3 linked regions of the Macaca fascicularis genome follow. The protein of the gene in region 2 purifies or fractionates together with the protein of the main gene of each other region. This does not show direct contact. Links are inferred from orthologs where the notes say so. Each region holds a gene or a part of one and is shown on either strand. Other genes may lie near its edges.

Region 1 (10,324 bases), on a different chromosome or scaffold from region 2:
CAGAATGGCAGAGAAAGAAAATGGTAAGGAAACAGCTTCTTGAGATATTTGGCTGTGAATATAGTGTATGTGGTAGGTGGAGGGGATGAGGGTGGGGTTTTGGCTTTATGTTTTAAGAAGGTTGTAATTTGAACTTAAGAGTCAAAGTTGAGAGTTCCCAGGTCAGAAGGAAGTTGAATTGAGGCCTGCAAAGGCATGGTAAGATCAGCAACTGTGTTTTGGAGTGGGGAGAAGGGGACACTGGAATTGAAGTTTGGGGGAAGTTTATGAAGGGAATCGTTTGCCAGGATAAGTTTTAAACTTTAATAATATCACCACCAGGATGTGAGTACCTTTGCTAGGCACTGGGTTAGGTACTGGACATAATTCTCTTTTATAACCACCCAGCAAGACAGGCATTATTGGTATGAACTTAGTTAATTCATACTTTTTTTTTTTGAGACGGAGTCTTGCTGTGTTGCCCAGGCTGGAGTGCAATGGCACCATCTCGACTCACCGCAACCTCTGCCTTCCAGGTTCGAGATTCTCCTCCCTCAGCCTCCTGAGTAGCTGGGACTACAGGCGCACGCCACCACACCCACCTAATTTTGGAATTTCTAGTAGAGACAGGGTTTCACCATGATGGTCAGGCTGATCTCAAACTCGACATCATGATCCACCCACCTCAGCCTCCCAAAGTACCAGGATTACAGGCTCACGTGAGCCACCGGCACCCAGCCTGTTCATACCAGTTTTACTGGTATGAATTTAGTTTGAGAATTTGCCAAAGACCAGTTTTTAGTGGATAGGCTCAAAATATTTGAAACATAACCAACTTTGTGAACTCTGTACGAGAAGGCAAACAATTGTGGCCCTTTAAGCCCGGGTTGGAGTGTTACTGGCTTCACTGGGTGTCTCTGGGCAGCCTTAAAGATGCTGAAGGGTGGGGGTGGGAGGGCTTGGTGAAGAAATTAGGAGGTGCAGAAAGAACAGGAGATGGCCAAAGTCAGCCTAGTTTGGTTAAGAAAAAAATTTGGCCATGTCTTTGGTGTTTACCAAAGTGGGGAAGCCTTCCCCAGTGGGGAAGCCTGTCATGGACTTCAGGCCATGGACTCAAGGATCTATGGGACCAGGCCTAGGATTGGCTGTGCAAAGTAAACAGCAGGCAGATAATCATGCTTAAGAGTGCAGGTAGGGCTGGGCGCAGTGGCTCGCACCTGTAATCCCAGCATTTTGGGAGGCTGAGGCGGGTGGGTTACTTGAGGTCAGGAGTTTGAGGCCAGCGTGGCCAACTGGGCAAAACCCCACCCGACTCTATTAAAAATACAAAAATGGGCCGGGCGCGGTGGCTCAAGCCTGTAATCCCAGCACTTTGGGAGGCCGAGACGGGCGGATCACGAGGTCAGGAGATCGAGACCATCCTGGCTAACACGGTGAAACCCCGTCTCTACTAAAAAATACAAAAAACTAGCCGGGCGAGGTGGCGGGCGCCTGTAGTCCCAGCTACTCGGGAGGCTGAGGCAGGAGAATGGCGTAAACCCGGGAGGCGGAGCTTGCAGTGAGCCGAGATCGCGCCACTGCACTCCAGCCTGGGTGACAGAGCCAGACTCCGTCTCAAAAAAAAAAAAAAAAAAAAAACAAAAATGGCAGGGTATGGTGGCTCATGCCCGGCCTCAGCACTTTGGGAGTCTGAGGCAGGCGGATCACGTGAGGTTAGGAGTTGGCCAACATGGGGAAACCCCACCTCTATTAAAAATACAAAAATTAGCTGGGCATGGTAAGGGGATGGGGCGCCTGTAATCCCAGCAACTCAGGAGGCTGAGGCAGGAGAATCGCTTGAACCCAGGCAGTGGAGGTTGTGGTAAGCAGAGATCACACTACTGTACTGGGCAATAGAGTAAGCGAGACTGTCTCAAAAAAAAAAAAAAAAAAAAAGGCCAGTTGCGGTGGCTCACACCTGTAACCCCAGCACTTTGGGAGGTCAGGGTGGGCGGATCATGAGGTCAGGAGACGACACCATCCTGGCTAACATGGTGAAACCCTGTCTCTTAAAAATTAGCCAGGCGTGGTGGCACGTCCCTGTAGTCACAGCTACTCGGGAGGCTGAGGCAGGAGAATTGCTTGACCCGGGAGGAGGAGGTTGCAGTGAGCCGAGATCACGTCACTGCACTCCAGCCTAGGTGAGAGTGAGGCTCTGTCTCAAAAAAAAAAAAAAAAAAAAAAAGTGCAGGGAGAACACAGGCAGCAAGTGGCCACAGACCTGGTGAAACCACTGCTACAAATGGGCAGCACCCTCAGGAGACTAGCCAATGCTCTTCGGAGACAGAGGGACTAGCCACAGGGTTCTTAAAGAGTAGCAGAAGAATATTCTAGATTAAGTCAGAATATCTTGGACTTGTTAACTAAATTAGTTCAATAATGATCAACTAACATATCTAGGTTAAAAGGTTATTTTCATTCCTCAGTGTTACAGTCAGAATATTTACAGAAGTATTTATTTTAAAAGTAGACTTAAAAAAAAAAAAGTAATTTAAAGCTCCAAGGTGTATTGTTTCATGTAGGTGTTACTGCTACCTATACTTTCACCCCATTTATTAAGCCCAAAACACTTCAAGCAACTTCAGGTTCATAAATTAATAAGGAGGTACAGAAGCCCAACCAGGATGGGACAGAATGTGTTCCAGGTTGGAAGGGGACAGCATGGCTCCTCAATGGTCTTGTACGGAACACTTGTGCTGTACTGTAATGAAGATTTTCTTCCTGAAAATCTGAATGTGACCTTTTAGATCCTCTGGTTGTTGGTTTAGTCTCCGGATTATAATGGTGTGCTGGAATCAGGTGGTTGACTAGAAGGTCAATCCAAGCTCCTAGGCCCCCCTCTCTTGTAGGCCTCAATTATCCACCTGTGAGGCTCAGGAGGGCTGACCAACCTGAAGGTTGGGAAAACTTGCTTAAATGAGGAATTGCCATTTCAGCATAAACTGTCCTTAATTCTACTGTAGAAATTGCTTTCATTCTGGAGATGGTGAGTCCCAGAAGATCATGGCCAAGATGATATCCTAAGTGGCTTCCTCTGAGAGTTTATGCCCAAGAGGGAGCCATCTGGCCACTTGCTTCTTCTTACATTTCTAATAGCTGCTCCATTTCCTTAAGGGCTGTTGTTAAATCATTTACTTGATTGTTACATAAGGTTTGCTGTTCTAGGAATCGGACTCTTTCTTCTTTCATCTCCAGCTTTACCTTTAAGGCCTGCATGGAAAGACATTCCAAAGGAAAACAACACATACACAAAACTCTTGACTAACAGGAAACACAATACCCACATTATGCTCCTGTTCCACTAAGGAAGACCGCTGGAGTATCAACAGAGACTGTATCTTCTATTTTAGATTTTGCTTCTACGTGCTGGTTTTAGGAATTGTCCCCCTAGTAGTAGAGAGGGACTAGACTCCTGTATCTCTAGGTTTGGGGCAATATCCCATGATTCATCCAAGCAATCTGAAGCAGTCCAGACCAAAGAATCTGTGTTTACTACAGGTCTCCTCCTCAAGTCATCAAGTTTCCATAGAAAGGATTACATACAGTTCCCAATTCCCAACTCTGAGCAACCTACTGTGTTACACATTGCCTCATGCCTTGGCAATGTGAACATTTCTAAGAGGCCTCGCTAACAGAAAGAAAAAAAAATTGGTGGAAAAAACTGCTAAAAAATCCAAATGAAGACTTGGAATATAGTTAATAGTAATGTACTGATGTTGGTCTCTTTTTTTAAAACAATTTTTTCCTGCCGGGCGCAGTGGCTCACACCTGTAATCCCAGCACTTTGGGAGGCCAAGGCGGGTGGATCACCTGAGGTCAGGAGTTCGAGACCAGCCTGGCCAACACGGTGAAACCCTGTCTCTACTAAAAATATAAAAATTAGCCGGGCGTGGTCACAAACGCCTGTAATCCCAGCTACTCGGGAGGCTGAGGCAAGAGAATCTCTTGAGTCCGGGAGGTGGAGGTTGCAGTGAGCCGATTATCATGCCACTGCACTCCAGCCTGGGGGTAAGAGCGAGGCTTTATCTCAAAAAAAAAAAAAAATTATATTTTTAGAGACATAGTCTCACTGTCACCCAGGCCGGAGTGCAGTGGCATGATCACAGCTCACTGCAGCCTTGCCCTCCTGGGCCCAAGTGGTCTTCTCGCCTCAGCCTCCTGAGCAGCTGGGACTACAGGTATGCACCATCTCTCTCTCTCTCAAAAAAAGTATATACTGTGAGTACCTTTGCTAGGCACTGGGTTAGGTACTAGACATAATTCTCTTTTATAACCACCCAGCAAGATAGGCATTATTGGTATGAACTTAGTTTATTCATACTTTTTTTTTTTTTGAGACGGAGTCTTGCTGTGTTGCCCAGGCTGGAGTGCAATGGCACCATCTCGACTCACTGCAACCTCTGCCTTCCACCACACCTGGCTATTTTCTAAATTTTATTTTGCAGAGATGGGATCTTGCTATGTTTCCCAGGCTGGTCTCAAACTCCTGGCTTCAAGTAATCCTTCGACCTCAGCCTCCCAAAGTGCTGGGATTACAGGCATGAGCCACCATGCCTGGCTGATTTCTTAGTTTTGACAAATGTACCAGGATAATGTAAGATGTTACTGTTGGGGGTTGGGGGAGGGAGTGCATCAAGAAGAATAGCTAATAGATGCTGGGCTCAATACCTAGGTGATGGGATGATCTGTGTAGTAAACCACCATGGCACATGTTTACCTTGTAACAAACCTGCACACCCTGTCCATGTACCCCTGAACTTAAAAGTTGGAAATTTAAAAAAAAAAAAAAAGTATCAGGGTAAATTTTCTGTATTATCTTTGTAACTTTCCTATAAATCTAAAATTATTTAGCAAGTTTATTAAAAATAAAAAGAAAAACAGGAAAGAAATCTACCTATCGTGGTAGAAAATGGTCAGGGTGATGTCTGCCTCTCACCTGTAACTCCTCCATCTGCTTTTTGGCTGTTTCATTAAAAAGCTTCAGCTCCTCTTGCAAAGTTTCTAACAGCAACTAAGAGGAAAGTACAATGTAGTAAACAAATCTTCATATAAAACCAGACCTGCATTAGATGATGGCTAACATCCCTTCCACACAGTTCTCAACAAAGGAGTCAGGAAATTTGATACAGTATAGAACAGAGGAACCAGAAAGCTCTCTCTACAGGTTTACCTATCACGTGTTTTAAATTTTCTTTTTTCTTTTTTTTTTTTCTTTTTTTTTGAGACAGAGTCTCGCTCTGTCGCCCAGGCTGGAGTGCAGTGGCCAGATCTCAGCTCACTGCAAGCTCTGCCTCCTGGGTTGACACCATTCTCCTGCCTCAGCCTCCCAAGTAGCTGGGACTACAGGCGCCCGCCACCTTGCCCGGCTAGTTTTTTGTGTTTTTTAGCAGAGACGGGGTTTCACTGTGTTAGCCAGGATGGTCTCGATCTCCTGACCTCGTGATCCACCCGCCTCAGCCTCCCAAAGTGCTGGGATTACAGGCGTGAGCCACCGCGCCAGGCCCCACGTGTTTTAAATTTTCAATTCAGACTTACCTATATTTGTAAGCACAAAGCTACCTTTCAAGTAAAATATGCTATTTTGAGTGCATGTTCCATTTCTCTTTTCTACCATCGCAGATAATCAAAGGTTGTTTCTTGGGGTTTATGGAACATATAGCAGAGACCTTCTTAGATTTACAGAGCCCCACAGTCACTCAGCCCTTGTGCCCTTTCGCACCCATTCCCTCACCATAGAGTCCATGTGATCGGTAGTAGATTCTTGTCGTGATGCCAGGGTCTCACTGCCTAAAGCTGACGGATACAACAAAGTCAACTTCACTTAGGGAACTACACACTTTAAACCAAAAAAAAATAAAAACCCTCCATGAACAAGTACAGAAATATTCATGAGGGGAATTTCTCTTAAGTGTCTAATCCTGGACTTTCTCCCAAGTTTTCACCTTGGCAGGGTCACCCACATCTGCCCTGCAGAACTGCATTTTATCTCCTTTCAATCTAGGTTTGGATATGGCCAAAAATTCTGTATACTTTCTCCTTAGGTCAGTGGACAATTTGTCCAAAGGAAATGTATAGGTTGGATTTTTTGGTTTTGTTCACAATTTAAGAGCCTTTCAGGCCTTAAAAATTATTACTTTTGGTAATATCACATGCATGTAATAAATTAAAATCATACAAAATATTTATGGTGTCAGTTGTGGTGACGCATACCTGTAGTCCCAGCTACTCAGGATTGCTTGAGCCCAGGAGTTGGAGGCCAGCCTGGGCAACATAGCGAGATCCCATCTCAAAAAAAAAATTTTAAATTTAAAAATATGTATTTTACAGTGACTATAAAGAATATCCCAGGTCGGGCATGGTGACTCATGTCTGTAATCCCAGTACTCTGGGAGGCTGAGGCAGGCAGATCACTTGAGGTCAGGAGTTTGAGAACAGCCTGGCCAACATGGCGAAACCCTGTCTCTACTAAAAATACAAAAATTAGTTGTGTATAGTGGTACATGCCTGTAATCCCAGTTACTCACGAGGCTAAGGCACAAGAATCACTTGAACTCAGGAGGAGGAGGTTTCAGTGAGCTGAGATCACGCCACTGCACTCCAGCCTGGGCAACGGAGTGAGACTCCATCTCAAAAAAAAAAAAGAATATCCTCACCTGTAACCTAAAGATTAACCAGTAACATTCAAAGTCAGTATTCCTTAATACAAAAAGGCCTGGGCCCATTTCCTGGGCATTCTCTAGCTCTTTGACTCAGGCTGAGGCCCTCTTACAGTCTTTGGACAATTCTTTCTACTGCTCTCTTTGCTACAGATTCTGCTCTCTGGGGGACAGGGTAACAGTAGTCATTTTTTAGTCACTGTAATTCTACTGATTAGCCAGGTTTAAGAATGCTTGAAGTAGTATTTTCTGTCTCTTCCCATTTGAGAAGTTACTAGTATGCTTGCGAGGAAGAACATGTTCAAACAAAATGTTCCTTTCAAGCACACTAGTAACTTTCCCAAATGGGAAGAGACAGAAAATATTCTCCCTTGAAAGGAACAAAATATTTCTCATCTACTTGCAAGGTCATACCTGTTGGCATAAAGTGTTCAGGTAAGAAAGAGATAACCTTCTCTCTATATAATCCTCTGAAATTCTATTGGCCAGGCAAAAATCAACATCACATGAAAACAAACAGAAGCCCTCCAAAATCTTTAGGGCTTTACTGAAGTAACCCCTGCACTTACTGGGCCAGCTGATGCCATGCTGCCAAGATCAACCCAGGAAGGGACACATGCACTGATCCCTTCAAAGACAGCTAGCTGTGTGCTATCTCTTACCTGGATCAAGGCCCTTGCTCTCCAAAATTGCCAAACAGTTGTCCCGAAACTTCTCCAGCAGCTCTACCTTTTGGGTCAGGTCCTTCAGCTCTCCCTGTTGGAGCACCGCACAGACAGATCAGGAACTGTCCCAATCCCTAGGGGTGGTCGCCCTTTCTTGCCCTTGCTCTTGGACAGCCATAGCAAAAGCCTGTTTTGTTTTTTTTTTTCTGCCCTTGGGCATTTGTGCATTAACAAGCTTGCTCACCCAAGGGGCCATCCATCAGGATTCCATGTGCATTGCCCAGTGGCAGCTGGTAACAGAGCTCTGGTGGGTCTCTTACCTGAGTTTCAGTCAACTTCTGGTGCAACTGCTTGTTGACGGCTTCTAAGAGCTGGTTCTTGTCCTTGAGCTCGTCCTCTGATTTTTGCTTACTCAGTGGTTTGTAGCTGTAATAACAGTTGTACTTACATGAAAAGACAAAAGGGTTAAGAGCATGGCCTACACCAGGCGCAGTAGCTCACGCCTGTAATCCCAGCACTTTGGGAGGCTGAGGTGGGCAGATCACCTGAGGTCAAGAGTTCAAGACCAGCCTGACCAACATGGAGAAACCCTGTCTCTACTACAAATACAAAAATTAGCTGGGCGTGGTGGCGCATGCCTGTAATCCCAGTTATTTGGGAGGTTGAGGCAAGAGAATCGCTTGAACCTAGGAGGTGGAGGCTGTGTGAGCTGAGATTGCACCATTGCACTCCAGCCTGGGCAACAAGAGCAAAACTCCGTCTCAAAAAAAAAAAAAAAAAAAAAAATGGCCTACAGAGTTACACAAACACGTCCTGTTCCTATCCTGGCTATTTACATAGTGGTTATGACCTTCAGTGAGTTGCATAAGCTCCCTGAAGCCCTGTTTCCTCATTTTGGCAATTAGGACAATACCTACATCTCATAGTATTATTATTAATAAGAGAGAAAACCCATGTGCATTTCTTAGCCCAGTAGCTGGGCTGATATGTAATAAAATAATATAATGTTTATCATCTAATAAACTCTAATATCACCAATATTAGAGTTTTTTCTTTTTTCTTTTTTTTTTTTTTTTGAGATGGAGTCTCGCTCTGTCGCCCAGGCTGGAGTGCAGTGGCGCTATCTGGGCTCACTGCAAACTCCGCCTCCCGGGTTGACGCCATTCTCCTACCTCAGCCTCCCAAGTAGCTGGGACTACAGGCACCTGTCACCACACTCGGCTAATTTTTTGTATTTTTAGTAGAGACGGGGTTTCACTATGTTAGCCAGGATGGTCTCGATCTCCTGACCTTGTGATCTGCCCGCTTCAGCCTCCCAAAGTGCTGGGGTTACAGGCGTCAGCCACTGCGCCGGGCCTAGAGTTTTTTCTTAACGTTCTCAGTCTTTTTTGTTTTGTTTTGTTTTTTTGAGATGGAGTCTCCCACTGTCGCCCAGGCTGGAGTGCAGTGGCCAGATCTCAGCTCACTGCAAGCTCCGCCTCCTGGGTTTCCGCCATTCTCCTGCCTCAGCCTCCGGAGTAGCTGGGACTACAGGCGCCCGCCACCTCGCCCGGCTAGTTTTTTGTACTTTTTAGTAGAGACGGGGTTTCACCGTGTTAGCCAGGATGGTCTCAATCTCCTGACCTCGTGATCCGCCCGTCCTGGCCTCCCAAAGTGCTGGGATTAAGGCTTGAGCCACCGCGCCTGGCCTCAGTCTTTATTGCTAGTATTTTGTCTTCAAAACTTTTTTATTTTTTTAAGTCAGAGTCTCGCTCTGTCTCCTAGGCTGGAGTGCAATGATGTGATCTTGGCTCACTGCAACCTCTGTCTCTGGGAATGAAGTGATTCTCCCGCCTCAGCCTCCTGAGTAGCTGGGATTATAGACATGCGCCACCACGCCCGGCTAATTTTTGTATTTTTAGTAGAGATGGGGTCTCATCATGTTTCCCAGGCTGGACTCGAACTCCTAACCTCAGGTTATCCACCAGCCTTGGCCTCCCAAAGTGTTGAGATTATAGGCATGAGCCACTGTGCCCTGCTATCTTCAAAACTCTTAGGATAAGCCCAAATAATAGATCTGGAACTAAAACCTATTTGTACAGACTTTTCAGCGTATTATTTCTATTTCTGATAGTGCAAAACTTCGAAGCTAGCCTCAAAGATGAGAGATGAACCTTCTCTCCCGGATTTCACCACCACCAGAATCTTCATCTCGAGATCACTAACTACAGGCAGCCCTTCCTCTCCTGAAGGCTTCACCCTCCTGTTGATGGGCCATAGCTAAGTGTGATTTCTGATCAACAGTGGTCCTGGCGTAGAGTCCAAAAAGCTCTTGCTTGAGACTCAAGATAGTAGCACCACTGATTCTTGCACTGACAATGGTTCTTACACCTAGCTGTGCCTCACCCCTGAAAATTCCACGCAGGTTCCTGAGGTGGAACCCAGACCCTAACACAGTAAACAAGTCCCACGAGTGATTCTGATGCAGAAACAAGGATTGAGATCCACTACCCTAGAACAGTGGCCAAGTTGATTTACCCTGATGCTCACCCTTTTCTGACATTCCTTCTGGTGGTGGTATCAGTAGCTTTCATTTGCCTAGGAGGGCAGAAACAAAGAAATGAATCAGAGACTCATAGTACTGTTAAGTGTGCAGTGAACAGGCAGAACAAAGAACTTGAGTTTCTGAGGAAAGAACCAGGGATGACATACAAGGCAAATGGCACAAGCTTGAGAGCTCTGAGGGACTATGCATTATTGTTTCAGCACAGACTATTGAAAAGGCTTATTAGTAGCACCGGGGCATGACCCCGACCACCCCAACATCCTGACAGAGCTGCTCCTCTCAAGATGGCGTGGCTATCTCATGTCAACCTCACTCACCTGGGAACTGAATGCTGGCTGGGGACACACACACACACTACGCTAGGGCTGGACTGTGGTCAGACCAGCAACCTAGGGTAACAACTAGTCCCCACCCCACATGACTACCCCTCAGGGTTGGCG
Region 2 (10,324 bases):
CTGTGTAGGTCTAGGGTAATGTGTGCTTGTGTCTTAGTTTTTAATAAGAAAAGTTTAAAAAGTAAAAAATAAAAATTAAAAAAATTAGAAAACAGAAAAAAGCTTATAGAATAAGAATGTAGAGAGACAATATTTTTGTACAGCTGTACAATGTGTTTTTGTTTTAAGCTAAATGTTATTACAAAATAATCCATTTTTTTAAGTTTATAAAGTAAAAGTCAGTTAAGGCTTATTACTGAAGAAAAAGCTATTTATGAATTTAGTAAAACCTAAATGCACTGTGTTTATGAAGTCCACAGCAGTGTACAGTAATGTCCTAGGCCTTCACATTCACTCACAACTCACTCACTGAACGCAACTTCCAGTCCTGCAAGCTCCATTCATGGCAAGCAATATACCAGTGTACCATTTTTAAAAAATCTCTTCTACCTTATTTTTACTGAACCTTTTCTATGTTTAGATTGGTTTAGATACACATATACTCACCACTGTGTTATAACTGTACTCACTACATGTAATATGCTGTACCGGTTTGCAGCCCAGGAGCAGTAATAGACTACACTAAGGTTATAGCAACAGCCTTGGTGTGTAGCAGGCTACACCATTCAGATACGTGTGAGTTCACCCTACAATGGTCACACATGATGAAATCACCTAATAAGACATTTCTCAGAACATATCCCCATTATTAAAGGATATATAGACTGTATAAGCTTCAATCATCTGACCTTTCTGCAGGTCTAATATAATGTGGGCCTCCCATGCATATGCACGTCATTAAAATGGCTTTCCTCCTGTCACTCTGCCTAATGTTCATTGATTTCAGATTCAGTTATCAAACCTTCAGAGGGAGGAGTTTTCTCTCCCTTCAGTAACCTGCCCAATGCCACACGGCATGAAGTGGCAGAGCGACTACTAGCATCCACTGCCACGCAGTCTGACTCAGTCTGCTTCCTTAGCCATAAAGCTCTGCCTCAGGTGGTAACCGAAAGCTGCTTAGGTAAATTCATGCAAGTCCTAGAAATTCCTAACCCAGTGAGGCTTCCCTCCGGGCCTGGGCACCTAGAGACCCCAGGAGCCCAGGACCAGCCTCTACCTGTAAAGTGAAGAATCTCCGTCCATTGTTTGCAGATGTAGATCTGGACATCCGTGCCCCCAAGGGCTAGGTAGGTACCACTCTGGTCAAAGATCAGTGACTTTACCTGCCAGAAACAGAAAGAGAGAAGGTCACACAAGGGGAACAGAAACTATGGGGCAATTGCGGATAAGCAGAAGCAATTAGATTAATTCAATAAATAATCGACAAACAAGGAGACACAATGGAAAGCTGGGTGGGGCGGGGGAAGGGCATACCTCGAAGTTGTTATCCAGCTGCAATGTCTTAAAGTTCTTAAGCTTGCGCAGATCCCATAGCTTGACAGAGGAGTCATCAGCCGCTGTAGCCAGGTAGTAACCATTCTCAGAGAAGGCGATGCTAGTGATGGGGCCCGAGTGGCCAGGGAAGTTGGCCACATTAGTACGTTCCTACAGTGGTGGTGGGTAGTAAAACACGTCACCCACAGATCATGAGAGGAAGAAAATGGAGCTCACCAAACCCCTACCTGAGATGTCCCTCACTGTCCTTCCAGGAAGGCCAGCCAGCGGGACCCCGCAGACCACACCATCATATCACACAGGCATAGCCAGCGATGGCCCCTTCAGTGCCAGGTGCCACAAGCACCTCATCAGCACCACGTTGTCACAAACACCCGCTCTGGCCCTGGGCCTCAGATGGAAGCCCACCGTGTCCTACCTTCAAGTCCCAGATCTTGATCTGAGAGTCCATGGTTCCTGTGCCAAAGATGAGTCCATCAGGGTGGAACTGTGCACAGGTGAGAGCTGTGGAGGAGGAAGACGGACCTGTGGTCAGAGCCCACCAGGGAGAGACTAAGAGCAGCAAAGTTAGGTTCCTTGTTCTTCACGGTCCTCAGTGCACCCAGCACAAAGCCTGCACTAGGCAGGTGCTGATGGTAAATGTATCTTTAGAACAAATAAGCAAACGACTAAATAAAATGTAAAAGTAAATAATAAATAGCAAACAAAAAGGCTGAGCGCCTACGAGGCAACTTACAGCAGCCAGAGGTCTCATCTGTCACCTTGGTGAGCACACGCCCTGTCTGGATGTCAGAGAAAGCCCAGTACTGGGGGGAAAAAAAAAGAGAGAGAGAGAGAGAATGGAGTCAGTGAGAAAGTGGGTCCCAGGCTTTGGTGGCCTTTCAGGTAGACAGAGCCCCTGGTCTGGTAAACCCTGGCAAACCTAGCACCTCCCAGCAGAGAGGAAACATTCTCCTTTGAGGTTCTGGGGAAGCAGCTGGGGTGGGAAGATGTTCCCGCCACCCAGGATGTTCAAGCTTGGGGACCAGCAAGCCTCTCCAGGGCACTGGCTGGGACCGCACCTGATCATCGGAGGAGCTCAGGAGATAGTCACCAGTGGCGTGCAGGCTGAGGCCTGTCACAGCACTCTCATGGGCCCGAACCACCTGTACACAAGAGGCATTGGGGACCGACCAAATCCTGATAGTGGCATCGGGGGAAGCAGAAAACACCAGGTCCTACAAGGAAAACAAAGACAGAGTATCAGAGTCAGAGAAGAGACACAGATCAAAACAATGTTATAAAAGGAGGCAGGGGATGCCCAAAACTACCAACAATTGCTTCACCTTTCAGCCCTGCCCTCCCTGGAACCACCTACCCACCCAAAGGTGCCCACAACAGCCAATGGTAAACGCTATTCAAGTCGTAACTCATACATCATCAGGGCTTGTGGAGGCGTCCGCGCCATCTAGTGGTAAAAAGGCTAACTGCAACAGAGAGCAATTTTCCCATTTCCAGGACCAAAGGAAGAATGTAGCTAGTATAATTGAGGGACTGAATTTTTTATTCTATTTCATTGAAATTTAAGTAGCCACATGTAGCTAATTGCTACTGTACTGTATGGCACAGGTCTGGGCAGTACGGGGACTCGAAGGGGCTGCATGGCTGTATTTCAGTGCATCCCACATTTATGGATTTCCAGGGTAAGTTAGTTTTCCAAAAGATTTGGGGCAGGGAGAGAATTTCGTATCACTCACTCACCAATTTTTTGTTTAGTTAGGATATTAAAAGCCACAAGGCAAAAATAACTACCATCTTTATCAATACAATTTCATGAGACCTAACTATTAATACCCCATAAGCAAGAAAACAGTGCCCTCGATTTGAGTAATTTAGTCATGAAAAATTCACCATGTCATTCTTACATTTCTCATTTCCCTAAGGTCCAAGGGAAAGCTCGACTGGGAAGCGCTAAACCAACCACTGTCCTGCAGCCCCAAACCCAAACTGTCTTAGGCTTGAAATTCGAATCCCATAATATCATTAATCCAGTCCCATGAGTTACCTTTATCCTATAAACCAGAGGTTCTATTTACAACCCACACCACTTTCAATAGTCAACATGACTTTAACCCGTCTCGGAGGGTCATGAGAAAGCAAATACATCTGTCTTCCTCATACCTGTGAGTTGAGATTGAGTTGAGCTTTGTTTTCTGTAGTTTATATGACGAACACTATAAGATTTTTTCTTTCCCTAATATAAAACTTTTCAATGAATATGCTTGTCAAACTACACATTTCCCTTCTCTCCCTGGCTGGAAGACCACTGCTTTAGAAGGTCTCACGCAGAGTGAAGGGCAATCTCCACAACTCCAAAGTGAAGCCCTTCCAAGTGCCCACTCAGGAGTCAGCGCTCTTTCTCAGCCCCACTTCACAGAGACAGCAGGGGGGCGAGGGACAAACAACAGCCAAGGAAAGAAGATCCAAAGGTGGCAAGAACCCCTTACCTGGGAAGGGTGAAACACCACGCTGGTGACCTTCTTGGTATGGCCTTTGAGGGTAGCCAGGATTTGTTCCGAACTTTTGTCAAACACAACGACATTTTTATCTGCCCCACCTGGAGAAGACCCAAAGAGACCATACAATGAGTCAGGCCCACCCAGGCCCTTTTGCTGAAGGAAATGCTTTTGTCCCCATGCCCATGAAGAGGACAAGGCGCATGCAAATTCCCCGCTGCCCCTCCCCACCTTGGCCTGCTGGGCTAGGCCCAGACTCTCACCAGTGAGGATCTTGTTAGTGTCAGACGGGCAGAGGTCCAGGGCCAGGATCCCAGGAATGCTGGCACTGTGCAACCCCTTTGCAGAGAGACACACCAAACCCTGTCACAGCCAAATCACAGCAGGCCACAAAGCCACAGGTCTCCCCTACTGCCATCCCCAGTCACCCATGTTCTCAGGGGAGCAAGAGTTACTTCTACTCCTTATCCATATCTCTTGGCTATCTGCCTGCTGCGGTAACTCCTTCACTGCATCACTGGGAAACCCACAACTGGGCAGGAAGAGGAGCCCTGACAGCTCAGCAGCCCAGGCAAGAAACAGCGCCAGGAACAGTGCCAGGAGCCCGGGACAGCTCTGTACTCAGCACTCCCCATGCTGGCCCACCCACCCCAGACACAAAACAGGAGGGCTGTCTCCAAGACAGTGAAGACCCAGACACTCACCACATGGGACGCCACCTGCCGGTATTTGCTGAGCTCTTCTGGCTTCACCAGCTCCTCAGGCACAGTCTTCCCTCTCTGAGAAAATGAAAAAGCCCCCAAAGTACAGCAGCAATGAATCCAAGATCAGCCAGCCCCCTTTCTCCTAAGGGGTCAACTGCCTCCCACCAGGCCAGCTCTTTCTCCTGGCTTCAAAAGAGAACTCACCTTCTTGCGCTCCGTGGTTAGCACAGTGGCTTTGTCTTGAAGCTGGGGAAGAATAGGCTCAATGTGAGACAAATTATCTTGCAAGGAGAAAAGCACATTGGATGCTGGTCACACCTGTGCTTTCACAAGCAACACCCAGAATTTGCTATCTGCCAATTTCTACATTACAGGCTTAAAGGCATTCTCTCTTCTTACTTCCATCCCAGCTTTATAAGGGGGGTGTTGATGACCTTATTTTACAGCTGAGGACACTGAGCCTCAGAGAAGTGAAGTCAATTGCCCAAGGTTGCAGAGGTGATAAATAGCAGAGCAGGAATGGAGGCCAGGACTGTAGAGCTCCCATAGGTCTACATGCCACTCAGCCAAGGGCTCAGACACATGCTGACAATTTGAACTGCTCAGAAAGACACTAAAAAGCCCTGCAAATGAGAATCCCACTGGACTTGCAATCAGGAGCCCAGCTCTGCCTCTGATGTGTCTTTCATCTGTAAAATAAGGATTATAATTCCTGTCCTATTGCCCTCATAGAAAAAAAGCAAGAAAATATATAAAAGTAGTTTACTATCTGCAAATAATACCCAAAACAATAAGGGCTAAAAGGTGCACTTATCAGTAATTAAATCATTTAGATTCCCACATCAAGCCTATAAAGTGGATATTATTATATTCTCAGTTTAGAAGCTACAGAAATGAAACTTGGAAATCGGCTAAGGAAGCCAAGGTCATGTAGCTTACAAGTAGTGGCATCAAAATACAAACCCAGGCAATCTGGGCCCAGAATCCACGCTCTGCACCACTCAACTCCCAAAAGCATAGCGATTTTAGTCACGATGGACTCTAGACAGATGGGGAAAAGTAAGGGCCCATCAGCACTCCCACCAGGTGAGAGCAGGACTTACCTTCTGAATAATCTCTGGGGTCATTCCCACCAGCTCACCCAAATCCATTGGCTCGCCCGCACCCTGAAGAGAAGAAAGGTGAGGGTGAGGGGCACAGAGCACCAAAGACACCTACATAAGGACAGCTCTGTGGGCCACTGCACACAAATGGGCTGTGGTAAGGGAAGGGGGACACTTACTACAACACTTGGTTGGGAACTTGGCACAGCCTGGGGCACAATGAGACCAGCCTGTGGTTTCAGGGTAGCCAGAGCTGAGAGAAAAGACGATGTTAGAAATGGGATATTACAAAGCAGAACCAGCTCAGGGTGGGGGATGGCAGGGGGCAGGCTGCACCTTCTCGGGCAGCAGTGACTTCCTTGGTGAGACGGGCAATGACACGGCAGGCGGCATCGTGCTGGTACAGAGCGTGCGACAACTCTTGGCGGGTTGTCTGCAGCTGCTGGCGCAGAGTGAAGCTGTGCAGCATGACTGCATCCTGGGAGAGGCAAATATTACTGTGAGCTGAGGCGGGGGGCGCAGGGAGCACCCAGTGGAGCCAGCTCTTGGGGAGTGGATGCTGCCTCCTATCCCACAGCCTAGACCAGTATCAGTGACCCAAACAATATCCGAGCACCATGAATATGCCAGCAGACACTCTTGAGCTCCTACCCCAAGCCAAACACTGGGCACACAGACAGGAGTGGCAGTCAGCTCTTTCCCATCCCTACTTTCCCTAATTTACTGGCAAATTCCAGCTGTCATGCCGTCACCTCTCTAAAAGTGGATAACAACACTGCTGCTGCTGCTATTTATTGATTGCCCTCTTTGTGTCAGGCACTGTGCCAGACAGTCCTGCAGGATGTATTCAATCATTCAGTTCATAATTCTAGAGCACCTACTACGTACCAGGCGCTCTCAGTGCTGGGGATACAACAAAGAATAAAACAAAACCCTGATGTCACAAAACCCTGATGATGATTATCTAAATAATTCTCCATCCTTCCCACCCCCAAGTCCTAACTCAGCGATGCATTCTCTTCAAGTGGGGAAGATGCTAATTCTCTTGCAGGAACTCACCCACTCATCCTGCAAGGCTTTCAGAATGGCCGGGATGCTGGTGGCTGAGGGAGGCTTGGGCCGGATTGGGTGAGCAACTGCCGAAAGGGAAAGTAGGTATGAAGAGCATAACCCAGGGACCTCCCCTGCCATCACATCTTTTCCTTTTAGCCATAAACAGCCCACCATCTCCTCCTCCAGTGCATTGGCACCACCTCCCATCCTCTCAGGCTCTGAGCTAAGATGGCCCTAGACTAAGGCAGCCAATAGGCACCTTTGATGTCGATGAGCTGCTCCTCGGAGAGAGGCTGGTTGTTGATGGGGTCGGTACCATTCTCTGCAATGTACTTCTCAATGAGCCGCCGCTCATAAACATGATTAGAGACAGGGGACACACATGGGTGCTCCGGCACTTCATTAGAGACTGTAGAGAAAAGGCCGGCAGTGAGCTTGGAGTGAAGGCAATCTTGAGCCTAGAGGATTCCTCATCTGCTATTAGCCCCAACAAGACTAGGCATCCTCACAATCAACTAGCAAAAAGCAAGACATCTGACCCTAAGCCAGTTCTGTACTGGCCCCAGAACGCTTTCCAGCTGTGGAACTAGCTTTTCCTTTAGTCTCCTGACAATCAGATAGTCAACAAATAATTATTAACAACTACTATGTGCCAAGCACCTAGAGAACAGCAGTCCATTATCGCCACCTAATATCTGAACAATGATTGTGTACTCTATGAATACAGTTTACTCCATGACATGGAGACACACATGAAGCCATTCAAATCCCTTCCATCCATCTTAGTCTATAGCTCCAGAGGGATTATCAAAGAAATCATAAAGTCTGAGAATATAGGAATAACAAACTCAGTTTCTCCCATTCTCTCACAAAACAAAATACTTCTGTGACAGATGTGACCATCCGGGTGTCCTCCAATTCAATTCTGACACCAGGTACCTGGAGATAGTGTCAGATCACACGGGTTGAGGTCTCAGTCCCACCAGACTCCCCCACCCCTTCAGATGCCAATCGCAAGCTCCAGGTTGTTTGACCTGTTCTTCTGATCTACCAGCTGTAAATCAGGGTTCCCATGACCCCCTTTTTGGGTTCAATTAATTTTCAACAGTGACTCACAGAATTGTGGGAAACACTTATGTTGACCAGTTTATTATAAAGGATATTACAAAGGGTATAGATGAAGAGGTGCATAGGATGAGGTATGGGAGAAGGAGTACAGAGTTTCCCATGCCCTCCCTGGGCACCCCACCCTCCAGGAACGCCCACATGTTCTGCTATACAGAAGCTCTTTGAATCCTGCCCTTTTGTATTTTTATGAAAACTTCATTACAAAGGCATGATTCAATAAATCACTGGTCACTAGTGACAACTTCAGCCCCTCTCGTTCCCCAGGTAAGTGGGAGGTAGGACTGAAAATCCCAACTTTCTAATACCCTTTAGTCTTTCTAGGTGACCAGTCCCCATCCTGAAGCTATTGACGTCTGCCAGCTACCAGTCAACTGATTAGGATACAGGCAGACACTTATCACCTGGAAGATTCCAAGGAGCAAAGTGGCAATCATTACAATAAAAATATTTACATGGCACATGTCTATGTGCCAAGCACAATTCTAGGCATACAGTACAGTAATTCATGTTCACAACAACCCGCAATAGAGGTATCATTTACACTCTTGCCTGCATAGACTGTGCGCCCCTTGAGGATAAGGATTACAGCTGGTCTCTCACTTCCAGTACAATGCAGATGCCCCCAGGGCACTCGGTAAACATCTAACGAATGAGTGAACCCTGCCAGGAAAGATAGTGCTGGGGAACGTAAAAGAGAGCTTTCCCAAGACTGGAAGGAAACAATGAATGTGAAGGTACTTTGCGAGCTGTAATTTCTTCAATGTGAGAGATTCCTTTTCCATCATTTCCCTTCCTTCTTCCCCCTCTCTGGATCAACGTACAGGTTCTGAGAAGAGACGGAGGTGAATAGCAAAAGGGAGGGGAAACGAGTAATCTGATGAAACAACGAAAAGGGAAAGGAAAACGTATGTACGTCATGATAAAATATCAAAGGGAAAGATAGTGGAAGGTATGGAAAAAGCAAGGATTCAGGCTCCAAACTCCGTGTCACCTAACTACGTCACCCAGCTCTGCCATTGACTAGCTACGCATTCTTAGATAAGCCCCGCTCTTCCTGAGCCTTGCCTCCTCATTTGCAACACCAGGATCTTTTCTCCTTTAGGGAATTCTTGTGAGGATAAAATGAGATCCTAGACTTGGAAGCGCGTTGTAAACCAATAAGGGCTTTATAAATGTGCGCTGTTTTTAATTAGTCATACACTGTAAGGCTGGGAGCCATATACCTAGCTGCCAGCCTTGCCTACCTCTAACTCATCATGTGACCTTTACAAATTGCAAAAGCTGCGACTATCCGAGCAAGGCCTCACAAAATATCCAGTGCAATGCTCTCAATTTTGCAGATGGGGAAACCGAGGCACAGAGCCTTAAGCCAATTCACAAAGCCAACAGGAGGCGGACCCTGGACAAGACCTCGGGTTTCCTGACTCTTACATCAAGGCTGTTTCCCCTGCACCAGCTCCCTCTGTCCAGGCCTGTTTCCACTCGGTAGAATGAGGCGACCTGCCTCAGTAATGCCTGCGACAATAAACCTCCGGCACTATGTAAACTGCGGAGCACTGCGCAAATGCACCCCGCTCCGAGGGGAGGGCTCCGGGGCTGACAGGCCGCCGCTCTGCCTCTGGAGCGCCCCATTCCCGCCTCCACCCCGGCCCCGGCCCCGGCGCCGCAGTGGCCCGCACACGCTCCCGCGCCGCTCTCCGGCCTCCTGCGACCCGCGCTCGGCCGCAGGCAACACTCACTGGAGCAGATTAGGGACATGGCGCCGTTGCCGCGCTCCCAGGCGCCACACGCCGGACTCCGGGACTGGCTTCTGAGCCTCCGCGAGCCACTTCCGGTCCCCCGCTGCTGCCGGGACTGCTCAGCTGCGAGCTGGGAGCCGCCAGTCGAGCGATGCTCGCGTAGCGCTTCACGTGGGAATGGGGACAGCCGCGCGCCACTGCCTCCAGCACCTAACGGAAATGGACCTTTCCCAGAATGCAGCCGGGCAGGAAAGGGCCCGCCACGAACACTCGGTTATTTCCGGATTGACTCGGCTCGTTCCGTAAAGCGCCCGGGGATTGGCGGGGGCGTCGGAAGAGAGGAGACTCGAAACTACATTTCCCATGATGCAGTGAGAACTTAAAACCAAAGCAATTGGACAGCACTTGTTTTGACAACTGTGCGGCACTGTGTCACGGGACCCTGGTCTTTGAAACCTTGGTGTGCGCGAGAATTTCCCAATTTCCCATTGTTAAAATGCAGATTCCTCGGATCTGCGTAGACAGACTGCCCCCCACGCTATTCTAAGTCAGGTGTTTCTCGGGCCACCCTTTAAGAGACACTGCTGGATGGCCTGGTGTTAAAAATACAGAGGCAGATGGGTACAGGAACTAAGAAAACGGCTAAGACAGCGTTTTGGTCCTGACTACTACCGTTTCGCTCTGTGATTTGGGGCAATTCACATTGGCTTCCCTGCCCTTTCTTCTTT
Region 3 (10,324 bases), on a different chromosome or scaffold from region 2:
TAGTTTCCTAACTGCTTTTTGACATGAAAAAAAAAGTTCTTTATGCATAATTTCAATTTTCATATGTCCAATTCTAAAACTATTGTATACATTGTCTGAATCAAAAACACGACTGATTTTTTAAAATAAAATCACACTGTCTTAAAACCAGTTAATGAACTGTAACACTAAGTACCTAAGATGTAGATGGTGAACATAACCTGCAGAAACTCTGCTCCATATTGACAGACGTGTATCTACCAAGTGGGCAAAGGAAATACCGGTGTTCAAAGAAGTAAGCTGAATTTCTTACATTTCCCGTGTTATTAACCTGCAGCATAGCTTCTTCATAATGTATCCTTAGGTTCAAGCAATGGGGACGTAATAAAGACAACAGGCACTACATAAGCTCTCTTATGCTTATTGAGCACCTACAGCAAGGCAAGTACTGTGGTAGGCACTAGAGACAAACAAGACACAGTCCATCTCCTAAAAGGAACAGAGTATAATGCAGGAACCACTGAGTACAGAAATAACAACAAAACAAATGGCAAAGATGTTAAAGACTGATCACATGCATTGTGGGCAAGAACACAAGAAAAGAGATGCTGCTGCTGGAGGAGAATTTAAAAATAGAGTGAGAAAATTAGCAGTAGCCATCATTAAAATGTACATACCCTTCAATCCGGGAATTCCAAATTTACGTATCTATCCTACGGAAACATATGCACACAAAGACACATATACAAGTAGGTACACTATAGCATTCTTCATAAAAGTCAATATTTAAAATAATAAAATGTCCATCAATAGAAAATAATTAAATAAGTCATGGTATTTCCAAACCATGAAATACTATGCACCAGTTAAAAAAAAACACAAGGTAGACATGCCTGTACTACCATGGACAGATCTGTTATATGACCCAAAAGATCAAGGTGCAGAATATGTACGGTGTGATTTGAGTAGAAACAAATACATTCGCATAATTAACTGTTCACAAGGTTCCTCTAGGCAGAGGAATAGAAAGAGATCAGAGTAGTGAAGGAGAACTTTCATTTTTCACTCTACTCATGTACCACTGGTATTTTCAGAATGACAATCTATTCATGCATTACTCGTGTAATTACACACACACACACAAACACACACACACACAGTGCTCCTGTATGGTGGAGACCAGTACAAAACCTGAAAGGACGCTGGTGCTGGGTAAGCTGGGCCCTGCTCTATTAATAGCTATTCCTACTATCAAAGAGGGCTGTGGCCCTAGGCCCAGTAACCACATTCTCCCCACCCTGCCTTCTCATTCACAGCATAGGGACAACACAGTTGACCACGCTGGCCTCACTAGGTTGCCGTGAAGACTCTGTGCCCTCTGACACCTCTGGGCCTTTGTTCATGCTCCTCATATTGCCTGGCATGCCTTTCTGTGTTCTTTTCTGCCTAATAAAAATGAATCTTCAAGGCTCAACTCAACTACTATCTTTTCTGTGACGCCCTCAATAGCTCCCAACTTGGTATATACTGTTTCTTCTTCTAAGCACCCACAGAACTCTGCTCATATCTCTTTTCAAGTGTCTGTTTCCTTCTACCTTGCCTTTATAGTCAGTCTCCCTAGTAACCTATAAACTTGAGTGCAAAGACTTTACTACTCAACTGTTAATTGCCTGGGGGCCTTGGGCATATTAAGATTCATTAAAATTGTATGTCCTGGGAGGGACAAAGATAGGGAGAGAAAGAGAGGTTTAGAACATTAAAACTGTATAAATGTGAAAGTCCCCTTGGTTAGGATTCAAGACAGACTGAAAGATGCCAGATTCCTCATATTAGCACTTCACAGTGCACCAAGGTGCTAGTGCAGTAAAACTCACGTTAACTGTCATCTCATGGGCACCTACTATGTGCCAGGTACTAAGCTAAACACTTACCATTATTCTCCTTTAATCTTCATACAACTCTGTGAGGAAGGCATTATTTCCTTATACAGATGAGACACCCAAGGCTAAGAAAGGGGAAGTGACTTATTCAAAGGCATGTGTGTATCACACCAATATTTGTCTAACTTCAGAGTCTTTGACATGATCTCCACAGTAAAGCTATCACTAATGGCAGGCACGATCAGTCTTCTTTGGGCATTGAAAAGAATAATGCAGGAGAGTTAACATAGCAGGGCTGATCTTGAAAAGGGCTGGCTTACAAGGCTGGCCCTAGGCTGGCAGCCAGGAACTTGGCTTTTGAAATGTTCCCTAAGTGATAAGGTTGCTGCTTTGTCAGCCCAGGGCACTGAACAGCTGCTTTCCTTCCAGGAGCCTGCAATTTTGTTAGTTATTACTGGCAGAGAATGCCTACATGAGCAGTCCTCCATAAAAACCCTGAACTCAGAGTCTCAATCTGTATCACTGCACACATGTTTGCATTTCACTGCTGAAGAAAGAAGCATGTCTGTATGATCCCACCCACTGGGAAGGAAAAAACATAGGAAGCCTGTATCTGAATTTCTCCAGACGCCACCTGATGTTGTGTTTCTCCCTTGCTGATCGCGTTGTGTGCCCTGTGTAATAAACCACAGCCCTGAGTATCACTGACTTTGAGTCCTAGGAGTCCTTCTAGTGACTTCCCAAACATGGAGGTCATCCTGGGATTCCTGGCCCCAATCACAAAAGCCAAAACAAACCAAACCCAAAACAAAAGTAGCCAACGAAACGCCACAGAGGAGACAGGGTGTCAGTAGAACAGAACCTTACTTCTCTGGATTGTCTGGAAACTTAATCCGCAATTCTTGGTTTTTATATGATCTCTTTTCAAATGTGAGGATCATTTTCTTCACTGAGCTTTCATCCAATGGCTCCTCCTGGTACAAAGAGACAAATGCAACAACTTCAGTCCCCAGGGGTTTCACATTCACTGTCACTACTTTCCGGTGGCTCTTATACCCCACCTCACTCTGCCATTGATCTTTCTGGGTTAAATGTACAGTACACACCTTTTTTTCTGAGATGGAGTCAGGCTCTGTCGCCCAGGCTGGAGTGCAGTGGTACGATCTCAGCTCACTGCAATCTCCACCTCCCAGGTTCAAGCAATTCTCCTGCCTCAGCTTCCTGAGTAGCTGGGACTACAGGCACATGCCACCACGCCTGGCTAATTTTTTTTTGTATTTTCAGTAGAGACGGGGTTTCACTGTGTTAGCCAAGATGGTCTCGATCTCCTGACCTCATGATCCACCTACCTCAGCCTCCCAAAGTGCTGGGATTACAGGTGTGAGCCACTGTGCCCGGCCACAGTACACACTTTATCTCCCCGATTACAATGAGGATTAAGGGCCTGTAATCACATGTTTCTTTTTGTGTATATCACTTTCGATGTCTCACATAATGCCCACTATCTGTAACACAGGAAATTCAGTTTGAGGTGTTAAACACTGACTGGGCACTTCAGCACTTCAGCACTTCAGGAGGCCAAGATGGGTGGATCACCTGAGGTCAGGAGTTTAAGACCAGCCTGGCCAACATGGAAAAACCGTTATCTCTACTAAAAATACAGGCACACGCCTGTAGTTCCAGTTACTCGGGAGGTTGAGGCACAAGAATCACTCGAACCCCGGAAGCGGAGGTTGCTGAGATTGTGCCACTGCACTCCAGCCTGGGTGACAAAGGGAGACTCCATCTCAAAAAAAAAAAAAAAAGAAAAGGTGTTAAAGACTCACTCATTCAACAAACATTTCTTGAGCACACTGTGTGGCACAGAGTAAGCAACAATATTAGATAATATTATTATACATTTACCTTGTCTTCCTTTGCTATCCATGTAAGATAAGACTGAAAGGTTTAAAAGAATTGTTTAAGGTCAAACTCTGGGTCAGTGACAGTGACCCTTAATCTTTTCCTACAGCAGAAGTTGGCAAACTGCAGCCCATGAGCCAAATCCAACCTACTGCCTGTTTCTGTACAGTGCGTTAACTAAGAATGGTTGTTAATTAGCTACAGTCACTGCTTAGCATTTCTTATATATTACTTTGCCTGGTCCTTACTAGATGCTGAGAAGGAATTCAGACAGGTACTTTGAATCCTGAAGTAGCATCAAGAATTTAGTAACCCTGCCTAGAGAATGCAGAAAAAAGCTAGTAGACCATACAGAATTTTCTGGCTCCATACATTGGAATAATACCTATGAAAGCAAATAAAATGAATATTTGAAAACTAAATCATTTTTTCTCCAAAAAATCTACACTAAAATTTCACACATTTTATCTTCAGTTTACCTTCCAGTTTAAATTAGTGTGCTGCAATGCACCCTGCTTCTCTCAATACTATCCCAACTCAAAGCTTCACAGCTTTGTAGTCATTGACCATAACTCAAGCCTAAAAGCGATAAAGAAACTGCTATTAAGAGAACCTGAAATAGATCCTTTTGGAAAGCACTGAATCATCCCATAATTTTATAAGTACTCAAAAATGTTAGCTATTATTCTATTATTAAATTTCTATTTCCACATATTGGGCTTTAAGTGGGAGCTACCCATAAATTCATTTTCGGCATGACACATTTCTTAGATTATACCAATGATTCCTAGATCCCAAGGTTCTCTATCGAACCCCTACCTCCTCCCCAGGGTCTACAGCTTAAAGAGAGGTTCCCTGATGTGGTAAAAACAAGTCAGAGTCCTGGCTCAGTCAAGACTCAGAGCCTAATTTCACTACTTACTAGCCATGTGACAATGTTACTTTGCTGAATATATTCCTCAAAGCTTCATCAAGTCCAGCTAATTCTAACTCCTAAATCTTTCCTGAATTCATCCACCACACACTGAGAATAAAATCCCAAACCCCTCACATGATCTATGTAAGGATCTGGCAGGATCTGCCCAGATAATCTCTCCAACCCCAAACCAGGGCAAAGACCCCCATTGCTAGCCCATGTCTACTTGTTCTGTGGCACAAGTAGACTCTCCAGTGTCTGGCACACAGCAGGTACTCCGTGAAGATCTGAGGAAGGAAAGAAGGAAAGAAGGAAGGGAGGAAAGGAGGAAAGGAGGAAAGGAGGAAGGGAGGAGGGGAGAGGAGGGGAGAGGAGGGGAGGGAAGGGAAGGGGAGGACAGGGGAGGGGAGGGGAAGGGAGGGGAGGAATGAAAATGTTACCTGTATCTCTCAAGGTCATAGAGATGACCTAAAGAAAATATGTACATAAAAGTGCTTTGTAAACTACATGAATGCAAGCTGTTATGGTTATTATTAGCAACAGGCACAATGTACCCAACATCCCACTAGAATTTAACCAAAATAATCAAAACATTTCTAGGAAAGAGTTAAATCACTTTCAAGCAAGCTCAATATCTGCTACTTTTCTTTTTCTTAGCTAACATCGTGCCCCACTCTGGAGAAAAACCACATTAGTGTTAACACAGCTCTCACGGGATTTCCGAAGTCCTAGCCTCTCCAGAGTTTGGCCTTCCCTCCTTTAATTTCTCTCCAACACTGGGGGAAACTGAATTATCAGTCTTAGTCATCAGCCACAGCAGTATCTCCAATAGCTCAACGTCAGAAACCAGAGGGAGATTTCAGAAAGATGAATGCTGGTGATGTAGCACAAAAAGGACAATAATATTTTACAAGTTCACGTGACTTTACAGGGGCAAGCATCACTTGTTTTTCATCAAATGGGACTTTGGTGGCAGTGAGAAAATAACTCCTGGACTTGTAGCCTTCCATGTGTCATTTTTACAAAGTGATCTCTTTTTCCCTGTCCCTTAACAGAAGGGCTGGTCCCACATTACATTTCTGTCTCCCAGGCTAGAAACCACTTACCCATGACAGCTACTATCCTAATCCTCCAGTACCAGCCTTGCCCTACATGGGAATTATACCTGCCAATTAACTGCTGCTGCAGGGCTAACAGATTGAGCAGAAGCTGGTGAGGAGGGAAAGGAGGGAGGATGTGCTACACACACTGTTTGTCTAAGCCCTGGCAAGGCTGCTGCCCTCAGAGAGGAAATTCAAAAATTCAGGACTGTCTCCCACCACATATTTCTAAAGTGCCATCATCTTTTAGGGGCAGACCCCCAAATTAACACTAGTACAAATCCTAATAAGGAAATAGCTACTGTCACAACACAGTAAAGACCTTTTTGGAATATGAATCCATTTTTTCTTCTTCTCAGATTCACACGCCAGCCTCATTTTTTAAATCCAAACTTAGCATCGTGTCTTTGAGGGAACCAAAAAACAGCTGGCTCTTAAGACTCTATTTCCATAATTCATATTGAACAAAATGCCAGAGTGAAATAACATACAAGTTAACACTTAAAGATTTAAAAAGACACAGAGGTAAGGTCATTTTGTTTTTAATCACTGATATTTTACCTCCACTCTTCCCAGCTTCATTTATTCATTCAATAAATATTTATTAAGGGCCCACCAAGAGCTAGGTATTGCTCTGGGTACCAAAGATAGAGCTGTGAACAGAACAGAGCCAGTCTCTGTTTTCATGGGAGGTTGGGAGGAGGACAGCAATGAGCACAATAAACAACTAGAATTTCAAATCATGATACGTGCTGTGCAGACAATATACAGAACACAGTGATGAGGGAATGAGAGAACGGCTTGCAGGGCTACACAGGAAAGACTTCTTGGAGGAGGAAACATCTCACTGAGACCTGAATGTGAAGAAACCAGCCATACAAAGCATCAAGGAAGAAGAGCATTCCAACAGAGGGCACAGAGGTCCGAAGGTCCAGAGGCAGGAATGAGTGGAAAAGCCCCAAGGCATCTTGGGGAACAGCAAAGAGAAAGGCCCTGAGGAGTCTCCTTCCCTAAGCTGTACTTTTGCAGTCACATCTAAATATCTAACAATGTGGCACCCCCTTAAACTTCTCCACTTTTGTTGCTTTGCTAATACCACCATTTTCTCTGCCTAAAAAGCCCTTCCTTCCACTTGATAAAATTTGATCCCTCTTTCAAAGGTAATAACACAAGTGCCTTCTATGTGTCCTCAGTAAGATCCAGGAAGCCTGCCTGGATAATTCGAAAACTCTGTCTTGTTCTTTACATCTCACAAGATGCTTTCCCAACTGCCCTAGCCCACTTAACCTTCACATTAACGCGATGAAATATGAATTCTTAACCCCATTTTACAGATGAAGATGGGAAGCTCAGACAAGCTGAGTATTTGGCCCAAAATTACATTCTATAGGGCCGGCCATCTCAGCTCCCACCCATCGCTGCCATGTTACCTCTTCCTCTTCCTCTTCCCCATCTCTGTCAATAATCTGAAGCAGCCTTTTTTTGTCATCATCCGCTTCTTCCACCACAGTCATTTCTTCTTCCCGATAGCGGCCACGTTCTCGAGTACCAGTTTGTTTCCGACGCATCTTCTGCTCCTCCTCTTCATCATCCCGGGGACGTTTTGTGCCCCTATTGGGCTGAGAGAAAAGAAACACAGGATTTTAGAGCTGGACATGACATAGAAGCTGGGCATGGTGGCTCACACCTATAATCCCAGCACTTTGGGAGGCCAAGGAGGGCAGATCTCTTGAGCCCAGGAGTTTGAGACCAGCCTGGGCAACATGGTAAAACTCTGACTCTACAAAAAAAAAAAAAAAAAAAAAAAAAAAAAAGACTTTGCAAGGCATAGACAGCAAATATCCTAAAAGCTTTCAAGAATTCTCTGACTCAAAAGCAGCCAGCATACAATTTCTCCCACCACATGGAGTAAAGCTCTATGTGGTCATTTTTCAGATCCTTAATGATTCTATAAATATACCATGAAAGTCAGTGGGAATTTTTTTATATACAGTTTTGCCATTTCACAAAAGTTCCTATGTATATGGAAATAGCAACAAAGCTATCTTAAGATGGCGACGCCAGGTTAGGCTCATGTACTAGTCAAGATATAACTCCCAATGTCAACCTCTTAGCACCTGGTTTTAATTCACATCTATGAAAGATTACAAAGCTTTCTCTACAGTTACTCACAAGTAGTCCAAATATAAAATATTACATATGTAACTTCTGAATGTCTACTGCACTCCCAATTCTATTTTACAGAAGAGTTGAGTTAAGGCCCAGAGCCTGGGCAAAGGACCTAAATAGACACTTCTCAAAAGAAGATATACAGATGGCCAGAAGATACATGAAAAAAAAAGCTTACCATCACTAATCACCAGGGAAATGCAAAGAAAAACCACAATGAGTTATCATGTCACGCCTATCAGAATGGCTATCATGAAAAAGACAGAAGATAAAGCGTTGTTGAGGGTGTGGAGAAAAGAGAACTCTGTGCACTGTTGGTGGAAATACAAATAAATACAGCCATGATGGAAAACAGATGGAGGTTCCTCAAAAAATTAAAAACAGAATTATTATATGATCCAGCCATCCCACTTTTGGGTATGTAACCAACAGAATTGAATTCAGTATGCTGAGAAGATATCTGCCCTGTGCGTTGTAGCGTTATTCACAATAACTAAGATATGGAAGCAACCTATGTGTCCGTCACTAGATGAATGGATTTTAAAAAGTATATATACACAATAGAATTCTACTCAGCTCTAAAAAGCGGGGAAATTCTGACATTTGAGACAACCTAGATAAAACTGGAAGACATTAAGCTAAGCGAAATAAGCCAGGCACAGAAAGACAAATACCTCGTAATCTCACTTGTATGTAGAATCTAAAAAAGCTGAACTCATAGAAGTAGAGAGCAGAATGATCGTCACCAGCGGCTGTGGAGGAAGGGAATGGAGGGAAATGTTGACTGAAGAGTATAAAGTTTCAGTAAGGCTGGGTGTGGTGGCTCACACCTGTAATCCCAGCACTTTGGGAGGCCGAGACGGGCAAATCACCTGAGGTCGGGACTTCAAGACCAGCCTGACCAACATGGAGAAACCCTGTATCTGCTAAAAATATAAAATTAGCCAGGCGTAGTGGTGCATGCCTGTAATCCCAGATACTTGGGAGGCTGAGGCAGGAGAATCGCTTGAACCTGGGAGGCGGAGGTTGCGGTGAGCTGAGATCGTGCCATCGCACTCCAGCCTGGGCAACAAGAGAGAAACTCCGTCTCAAAGAAAAGAAAAGAAAAGAAAAGAAAAGTTTCAGTTAAACAGGAAGATAAGCTTTAGTAACTTATTGCACTGTATGCTGAATATAATAAATAATGCACTGTACATTTAAAAATTGATAAAACAGATTTTAAATATTTTCACCACAGAAAAAATATTAAAGGTGATGGATTTGTTAATTAGCTTGACGTAATCATTCCACACTGTAGACATATATCAAAATACCACCTTGTACCCCATAAATATATACAATTATTTGCTAATTAAAAGTTTTTAAATCAAATATTATAATAATAATAATAATAAAAGCCCAGAAGCCAAATATTACATAAGATCACAAAACCATTAACGCACCCCTGAAAACAGAACTGGCACTTCCAGACTCCTAGGCCAAGGACCTTTCTACCGTACTCTGTTAGGACCTCATTTTGCCTTTTATTGTTGTTGTTGTTGTTTACTTTTTAGAGATGAGGTTTCACTATGTTGCCTAGGCTGGACCTGAACTTCTGGACTCCAGCAATCCTCCTGCCTCAGCCTTCTGAGTAGCTGAGACTACAGGTGTGTGCCACTGCAGCCAGCTCATTTTGCCTTTTACAATGCAATCAATTAAGAAGTTCTTAGTGTTGTTTTCCATTAAATTAGAATAAAACAGAGCAGTAGTGAAAGGGGCTTCAGAGCTGAAGAGACAGAGCACTGCCCAGACACCAAACAGCCCAGTGTCTCCATTCAGCTCAACTTACTCCTGATTCGACTCTGGGCCGGTCGCCTACCTCTCTAAACCTTAGTTTCCTTATCTGTAAATGGACATTATAATTCTTTCCTCTGTGAACTTCAAGTGAAAGAATTCTAAACCATAATGGTATTGAACAAATACCTAAAATCATCACTGTGAGGTAATCCACATGATTCTGTCTTCTCCAACAAAACATTTGTGTTAGATTCTTCAATGAGATTTTCTTTATCTGATATAGTAATCACACCCACCAGCAATATGCTTGGTGCAATGTGGTCCGTTACTACCAAACAGAAGAAAATGCCACTTTCACTGCCAGCCTGCTAAGTTGTTTGGTAATAAGAGAAAATTTTCTATTATACATGTTACACATCTTCCCTTTTGACTTTTATTGAACTGTACTCTGCCAGTGGTAGAAAGGCATTCCCCTCTTTATTCATGTTTCCTGCTTGCTCCACATCCCAGGTGCTTTAGTAAGTCTGAGCATATGACATTGTTGAGAAAACTCACATTCGACAATTTAGTTTGTAGGGTACCACCTGCTATTTTTCACTCTC

The links.
Region 1: the proteins of PRPF19 (region 2) and KNSTRN purify together in Homo sapiens (affinity purification with mass spectrometry; 4 studies listed by BioGRID and IntAct, counting the BioPlex papers as one, with this or other methods). This does not show direct contact. The link is inferred for Macaca fascicularis from reciprocal best matches to the Homo sapiens genes PRPF19 and KNSTRN.
Region 3: the proteins of PRPF19 (region 2) and CTNNBL1 purify together in Homo sapiens (affinity purification with mass spectrometry; 4 studies listed by BioGRID and IntAct, counting the BioPlex papers as one, with this or other methods). This does not show direct contact. The link is inferred for Macaca fascicularis from reciprocal best matches to the Homo sapiens genes PRPF19 and CTNNBL1.

What each region holds. Positions count from the first base shown.
Region 1 is NC_088381.1:16,883,703-16,894,026, reverse strand, and holds the end of KNSTRN (small kinetochore-associated protein), read right to left. Parts: intron 9,917-10,324; coding exon 9,869-9,916; intron 7,766-9,868; coding exon 7,660-7,765; intron 7,431-7,659; coding exon 7,337-7,430; intron 6,645-7,336; coding exon of another isoform or gene 6,601-6,644; exon of another isoform or gene 6,530-6,600; intron 5,812-6,529; coding exon 5,750-5,811; intron 5,030-5,749; coding exon 4,955-5,029; intron 3,229-4,954; coding exon 3,100-3,228; 3' UTR 2,459-3,099; downstream 1-2,458. UniProt on the Homo sapiens protein: Essential component of the mitotic spindle required for faithful chromosome segregation and progression into anaphase.
Region 2 is NC_088388.1:13,367,866-13,378,189, reverse strand, and holds the start of PRPF19 (pre-mRNA-processing factor 19), read right to left. Parts: upstream 9,818-10,324; 5' UTR 9,616-9,817; coding exon 9,597-9,615; intron 8,684-9,596; exon of another isoform or gene 8,407-8,683; intron 7,139-8,406; coding exon 6,989-7,138; intron 6,813-6,988; coding exon 6,736-6,812; intron 6,155-6,735; coding exon 6,013-6,154; intron 5,930-6,012; coding exon 5,856-5,929; intron 5,740-5,855; coding exon 5,677-5,739; intron 4,820-5,676; coding exon 4,778-4,819; intron 4,649-4,777; coding exon 4,574-4,648; intron 4,209-4,573; coding exon 4,133-4,208; intron 3,971-4,132; coding exon 3,861-3,970; intron 2,592-3,860; coding exon 2,436-2,591; intron 2,181-2,435; coding exon 2,111-2,180; intron 1,879-2,110; coding exon 1,793-1,878; intron 1,525-1,792; coding exon 1,354-1,524; intron 1,203-1,353; coding exon 1,097-1,202; intron 1-1,096. UniProt on the Homo sapiens protein: Ubiquitin-protein ligase which is a core component of several complexes mainly involved pre-mRNA splicing and DNA repair. Required for pre-mRNA splicing as component of the spliceosome.
Region 3 is NC_088384.1:93,847,962-93,858,285, reverse strand, and holds part of CTNNBL1 (beta-catenin-like protein 1), read right to left. Parts: intron 7,397-10,324; coding exon 7,208-7,396; intron 2,834-7,207; coding exon 2,727-2,833; intron 1-2,726. UniProt on the Homo sapiens protein: Component of the PRP19-CDC5L complex that forms an integral part of the spliceosome and is required for activating pre-mRNA splicing.